2 linked regions of the Bombyx mori genome follow. The protein of the gene in region 2 purifies or fractionates together with the protein of the main gene of each other region. This does not show direct contact. Links are inferred from orthologs where the notes say so. Each region holds a gene or a part of one and is shown on either strand. Other genes may lie near its edges.

Region 1 (3,600 bases), on a different chromosome or scaffold from region 2:
TACAATACTTCATTAAATAAAATGCATTTTCATCTGCAACAGAACTTATGGCTGAACTTATGAACTGAATTTATTAGTTATACCTACACTTATCTCTATCTCTCGCAATAATAATCCATTGTGTTAATAGTACGAGAATAGAAAATAAATAACTAAAATAGTAATATAGTATCGTGTTAACAAACACAAGTTATAACTAACATGATAAATGTACTTATCTGCTTATATTTTTCAAACGCTAATAAGAATTGCACATTGCACGTTATATTCATAAACGCGGAGACCGATTCATATTACAATGTTCCCAGAGCTGGGTACGATTTCTAAGAAAGAGGTACTGTTTTATCACTTGATACAATTTTTATCTTGCTATGTAATATGAAATCGTTTTTTAATAATTTTGTATTTCTTACGCATTTCTTCTAACTTATTCGTGCTATTTGATTAGCGCAACTTGTGGTTTGTCAGTGAAACGGTGAAAATCTCAGTGAAACATCGAAAATGGTATATACCGCGAACCATTTGCGATGACTTAAAAAGGAAGGTATTTAAATATACCTATTTTTTAATAGTGTAAAGTGTTATTTTCATTTTCAATAGGAATATCGCTGGTAAGTAATGTACATACATGATAAAAAATAAGACGAAAGATTTGTGTTTCGTGTTTAATTGTTAAACTCACACGAAGGTACTTGAAGTAGGCGTATACTTCAAACAGTAAATTAACACGCAGTGCGTAATTTACTACATAATTAATAATGACATAGATATTACAAATCGAATATTACCATCAGCATATTTAAATTCTCCCGCTAAGTATCACAGATAAGAAATCGGTTAAAGCGCCATCTATAAATTAGAAGATCAAAGATAAATTTTTTCTTCGTAAATGCTGATAATGAATGCTGAAAAACCCAAACCATGATGAAAAATTATAAGAAATTTTAAAATAAAAAATGTATATTAAAATTACAAACATTGAGTATTAGCTAGAATTTGAATTCGGCGCTTGTTTCCAACGTAGAACTAGCGTCACCTTGGGACACAAAACAAAAACTTTTTGGAACAAAGAGCTTTGCTAGCTAGGAAACCACTACCAGAAAATAAGGTTGTGTGGCATCTCGGTCGTACATATACACAACGTGAACGAATGAAAGAGATGCTATATAGATGTCTGCCGTCAGCAGAACCATCTTAATTTCTCGTGCAGTTGTTTCGCCTCGACCGTGTTCTAGTGCAGTGCAATCGCAGGATGGACGCCATTCGCGCTAGATAATTTTTATATAAATCAAAAAGAAAAAGCGTCGTCGCACGGGCTAGGAGCTATGGTGATATAGTGCGTAGAGTGCGATTCCGTGGTGGTGCTTCAATCCGGCGGCGGCGTGGAGGTCCTCGCGGGGCGCGGATGGCGAGCGCGGGCTCGCCCGGGGGCACCGCTCGCGCTCCGCCGCCGGCCCGATGAGAGGGGCACGCTCCAAGCACCTCGACTCGTTTTATGGGTGTTTGCGTGAGCTGCCGGCGCCGAGAGCGGAAGATCCCAGAAAAGCGGTCGGTGCCGGGAGTGGTTGGGCCCGCTAAGGGCGCGGCGGCGGAGCTGCTGCCCAGGCCAGTGAATCGCTTTACAGCCATGGCAAACTCCATGTCAAATATCAAGATGACCAACCCGATAAAGAATATGGTCAGCAAGCGCAGGATACGCTACACCAAGCACGGATTCAACCTGGACTTAGCCTGTATCCTTTTTGTGTAGTGTCTGTAAAAGTTAATGTTACGTTGGAGTTCTGTGTGCTAGCCTCAGTTGAAGGTGAGTACTTTCCGTTCCGAAACTGAAGTTTAAGCTTCTAAAATTATTTCATTTATTTCATATATCTTTTAGTCATGTCATAAGTGAAACAATCCAATTTACTTCGATATGTGATGTTCCTCTCGGCTCTCTCAAGGGCACTCATTATAACCTATAAAAACACATCCGTAAATTCTCCCGATAATGTAACGATGTTTCAGGTTATAGAAGAGAAGGGCATTTGTAAAAAAATACATTTACATTAAATTATGTAGGAGTGTGTCTTGAAAAGCTATTTGAATAGTCTTAGGTTACAAGGCCTCGAGCTTACACCTATAAGAGTACTCATTCGCCGATCATGAATCTTGGCCTTGTAATTTTTTTCCAAAATAACACAATAATATTTAAAATTGTGCGAAAAACAAATAATAAACGAACCAGAAATGTTTTTGTTCAAAACTGTTAAAATCTGGCATGGCAACAACCAACATAACCTATAACTTATACATAGGTATTATGTTCTATATGATTACTCCAACTGTTTACATAGTAACTATCAGATAGTGGAGTGTGCTCTGTTAGAAATGTGTATCTAAGTTTCATGTAATGAAGACAGTAGATTTGCTATGACCATATGCAATTACTTTATATGAGTACTAGTATTTAACCATGTGTTCGTACACATAACATTGTTATGTATCAATGTGTGAGAATAAAGCAATGTTTACACTAATTATGCTTTTGAAGCACATTTGCACATTTGCATACTAATGGCAGGTTTAAAAGTGGACTGTTGCATCTTAATGCATTGCTTTGACATGTGTGGGCAAGATAGATTGTGCGTCATGGAATACCTGGTTATAGTGTTTGTGTATTAATTATTCATACACATTAATGTAATATGATAATGAAAGCTTTGAATTACCTTTATTAATGTAATAAAAATATAGGGCAATTTAAAGGCTTTTATTTTGAAGATATTCAAAATATGTGTGTACATATAGTGTGGTAGTGTACTTTAAAGAACTACACTATCGACAGTATGCTGAGAATTTTATTAAAAAAAAATGACTGTGAGTAGATTAAAATTTAGAAAAAAGAAAAACATTTAAACAAAACTTATTTGAAAATAAATATGAATAAAAATTACAAATTAAACTTCATGAACAGTTAAAAATATATGATGGATATGGATTTTTTTTAATTTGCATTATAGTAGATTATGTCTGGTATGGTTGGTGGTATGGCGGCCGTGTCTGTAATCAGTACACAGACCAACAAATTAGCTGATGCCATAGATTGGCAAACAGCTACACCTGCCCATGGACATACTTTATAACTTTATCTAAAGTTGGAATCTTTAATCCCGTAAGAGTATTACATGCCACGTCGAGTGTTTGTAGAAAACAGTAGTAGAAGAACTGTCTTTGTAGGTACAGAATTTCCTATTCTGTATCTATACAGAAAACCCTATTTCATCCCTGCGGAACTGGTGATCTTAATATTTTTTATTTAAACAAAATAAATATCTATATTATAATAATATCAGAAATTATGATTTAAGATATAATTTAATTGTAATTAGAGAAAATCTGTTGATATCTTTGTTTGTGAACTGAAATTTTGTAGTTACTTTTGTAGCTCATGGCAAGGTTCATGGTGAGTTTCTATAATAGTACCATTAGCGTACGCCAGGTGGCGCACAATAAATGTGCGATCCAGTTTGATAGAGAATAAAACAATATTAATGTTGATTAAATGAATCAATTAACAACTTGCATAATATAGTTAATTTTAAAATATTTGGATTATCCATT
Region 2 (3,971 bases):
CCAAACCAGTACGCCGTGCCGGGACCCTGGGGAACATACAGGACCGCGTTACACAGGGAGGGACAGCGTGACCTCAGGGGACCCTCATACTGATCAATCCACGTCATCTGTTGATGACGTTATTATCTATACTTTGCTGCCATCTAATAGGAAAGTCATTTATTTGCGATAGAACTCTGGTGATCTAGATTCTACAAACTGCGAAGTTTTTCTTTACCATGTACAAAATTGTCCAAATCACGAAAAAAATGGTAGTCCGTTGGAGCAAGGTCTGGCGAATACGGAGGATGACAAATGATTCCTAATTGCAGTTCCTGTAGAGTTAAAACGGTTTCTCGTGCTGTATGAGGTCTCGCGTTATCATGGAGCAATAATGGTGAAGATCGATTCATGAATCGAGTCAACTACTAAAAATCGATAATCGAATGTTGCACATTTTTCAAAAGAAGAACCCTATAGGTACCATTTGAAAAAAGTTTCACTCAAAAGTTCTATGTCAATTTGGAGTGCCTATTACAATAGAACGGCAATTTCATACTTTAACCCCTATAGCTTTATAATAAGATCACTGACCCGGCTGGTGACCACGTTGCCGTCCACCACCACCCTCTCCCCCTCCACGTACGTGTAGTCGCCGGCCGACAGCTTGTCCCTGGTGCTGGGGTATGACGTCACGCGCCGGCCCCTCGCCACGCCGTGGGCTGCAAACGCTATGGGAGCTGCCAATGTAACATTTAATTACATATTATGTCTGTGACATTATATATGTTGCGATATTTCCTTAGATAGTTTTTAATATTTTATTTACGTAGTTGCTTATTGAAAGAGAATTCTCTTATGTCTATAAACAAATGTTTCTATTGGCTTATTCAATCAACTGTACTTATTGTTGACTTTACCGGGACAAAATATTAATAAGTCAACATGTAGTTTAGAAATTTAAAATTAGTATATCCATTGGGAACGGGTGAGGAGTGGCGAGGAGGTGTCGGTTGTGATGATGATGATGATGATGACATCCATTGGTAACATTAGTATTCCAAACTCAATTGGAAGCAAACTTAAAAAAAATTTTTAGTAATTCATTTACCAGCACAAATGGCAGCAATGATTTTCCCATTATCCTCGTGGTCTTTAAGCAGAGCACCAACCTTCTCGGATTTGGAGAGACTGTCTGATCCTTCTAAGCCTCCTGGTAGAATCACCTGTTTGGAGAAAATTATTTATTTTTATAGGTGACACCTGCAGTGCTATATAACGCCTGTCAAAGTAACATTCATTGTAGTTGATGATGCCAAGTATTTTCTTCAACTTCAACTGAAACGGTGGTGCAAGACAGGGAATCTAATTTGTGGCTAGGTGATGGTCGTGACTCGTGCCCCGGTTATTATGGGTTGTCACTAGCTAATCTTATTTTGGATCATGCCTATGCTACGTCTAAATGTTTAATAAACCTAATAGAACAGAATCATTAGCCATTAAAATCACAACTGGGGTGCATAATTCTAGGTTCTAAGGTTCTCAGGTTCTAAATTATGTTAACATAGAAATTGGGTGTACTATTGTAATTTTTTTCTAGAAATGATGTAGTTTCTGCAGTTGCAAATGAACTTTGCTGTATAAGATAACGGTAAGGATACTCACAGCATCATACTGTTGTTTCTCAGCGAGGGCTTCAGTCAGTGACTTATCAGGTACTAGAGTCACTTGCCTTGAGCACAGCACAGGAGATGAACCTTCCAAGCCAGCTAGAGTAACTGTTACCTATGGGGAAATAAGGTCTTTTCAATAAGAAAAAAGCTTAATAATAAATTACTCATTGGTTAGAATACCACTATGATATTCCTTCTCATGGGTATAGAATGTAACCTTTGTTTTGTTTACTATGGAATCTGCAATGAGCATGAGCTGTGTGCAGGTGTGCTGTGAGACCTGGGAGTTCGTCCTCCAATAAAGGCAGCTTCTCTTTTGTAAATCATTTAGATACAATGTCCTTTTGTTTTAGCAATATAGTATCTTTTATTGTTCATAGCCAATTCATTTTCACTTCCTTTCCTGATACAATTTCTTTGAAATTCTATGGATTTCGTCCTTTAAGATAATGATAAAAAGGTAAAAATATTCTTTATGAGTATGGATGCTCTCCGAGTATTATAATATTTTAAAGATTCATGATTTCAATCCTACCCTTAGTGTTCAAACCAATACCATAGTATAACTCTTATACACATAACATCATTATGATAACATAATATGAAAAAACTATTTCAATGATGTTGCAGTTGGGAGTGGACAACAATTACGCAACTGATGCACATTCGAGTAGAACAGCAATTGATCAGTATATAGTAAGTAGTAACTTTTTATTGTTTAATTAAGATTTACAATTAAGCAGTGATCTAGTATTCAACTATTTGATAATTTATGGTCGATTTTCATTATGCAATTTTAGAATACACTAAATTTTCTATAGTAATAGGAGACTAGGGCTATAAGTTTTATATTATATTGCTAATACTATCAATCAGTGATCAGCTGAGGTGTTGGTCTATTTGTCATTTAGATTTTAGACTTTGTCATTGACAGCTGTGGTAGCATCATGATTACCCGGCGACCATTGTAACTGAATAGTTGATAAAAGGGTGTTAGTTTTTATTGACGAGCGAGAGTCAGCTATCTGGAATCACATTATCAGATCGTCAAGACCACATGACGGGCGAAATATGTCGATTAGCAAAAGTCTAATTACAATCCAACTAAGGAAATTCAGTCAACGGATTTAATGAATTAATTGACTACAAACCCCTCCTCGTCTCAGCATATCAACAGTTATAACTGTCTCCATCTCCTCTGCACCCTGCGCCAAAATCACTAACGCAGACTTGCTCATTGTTCTAAAATGAAAATAAACTAATATAAAACAGAAAAGCATGTAGTGTGCAAACAACAAATTACATAGTTTTTATTTCTGTATTATGTAATCAGTAGGTATTACGATAAAAGTATAATTAAAGTTTTCTTAAAGGTAATTAAATGCCGGTTCAATTTGTTGTATCCTCTATTTTGGTAGGTATTTTCACTTGATTCACGGCTAGATTATAATGTGAATGTAGTTAACGCCACTTATGCAATTAAATTCCGCTAAAACAGTTCGGTACCTTGATTTAAAAGCTCTATAATTTGCAAGAGTTTTTAAAAATAAATTAGAACGAGTAGACAATGACAACAGCAACATGAGAACCATAGATAATACACTTGATATTTATTAAATAAACATATTTGTACATAACTACTAAATTAAATATTAATTATGAACGAGTTGACAATTTCTGATTAAATTTAAGTACGGTACCTACTAGTATACATAGATAATAGACTGTGTATAAGAGAGTAAATTACCTACTTTGCCTTTGAAATTGTGTAGGTATTGTCAATTAATTGTCGTTACTATTATCATCTAAGGCCTAAGGTTATTTGTGTATGGTGTAAACAAATTATCTATGCTCGAAACATTGTAAAAAATTACCTATATCGTCAAGTGTATAACAGTCTACACTATGAAGGGTTCCGTAACGAAATGAACTTAGCTTGATAAAACACCCACAAATATTTTAGCATCCATCAATTAGCATCCATCAACATATTGTGGTCTCTTAGACCTACATATTGTCAAATCATTTTCCATTGCAAATTTTATTTAGGTTCATAAATTGTTTTTATGATTTATTTATGTCCTTAATAGGAGCACTAGAATTTGGAGGTACCTACACTTTTTTAACCTTACAAGCGCACAAAACAGCGGTAGCCGTCACAGAATATAAATTTGACACGATGTCTGAAACCGAAAAACGACATGATGCATCAACAACGTTGCGAGTCTTAGAAAAAACTATCACGACAACCTAAACAATATATTATTATATCTATATTATATTATATATACCTGTAGGGACACAGTTTGTTATGTAAAC

The links. Proteins that work in one complex are often made in the same cells at the same time.
Region 1: the proteins of BmDJ-1beta (region 2) and phosphatidylinositol 3,4,5-trisphosphate 3-phosphatase and dual-specificity protein phosphatase PTEN purify together in Homo sapiens (affinity purification with western blotting; 4 studies listed by BioGRID, with this or other methods). This does not show direct contact. The link is inferred for Bombyx mori from reciprocal best matches to the Homo sapiens genes PARK7 and PTEN.

Annotation. Positions count from the first base shown.
Region 1 is NC_085109.1:13,025,094-13,028,693, forward strand, and holds the start of phosphatidylinositol 3,4,5-trisphosphate 3-phosphatase and dual-specificity protein phosphatase PTEN, read left to right. Parts: upstream 1-1,081; 5' UTR 1,082-1,495; coding exon 1,496-1,733; intron 1,734-3,600. UniProt on the Homo sapiens protein: Dual-specificity protein phosphatase, dephosphorylating tyrosine-, serine- and threonine-phosphorylated proteins.
Region 2 is NC_085129.1:16,172,648-16,176,618, reverse strand, and holds the start of BmDJ-1beta (DJ-1 beta), read right to left. Parts: upstream 2,897-3,971; 5' UTR 2,895-2,896; coding exon of another isoform or gene 2,891-2,894; coding exon 2,804-2,890; intron 1,765-2,803; coding exon 1,645-1,764; intron 1,206-1,644; coding exon 1,091-1,205; intron 720-1,090; coding exon 574-719; intron 27-573; coding exon 1-26. UniProt on the Homo sapiens protein: Multifunctional protein with controversial molecular function which plays an important role in cell protection against oxidative stress and cell death acting as oxidative stress sensor and redox-sensitive chaperone and protease.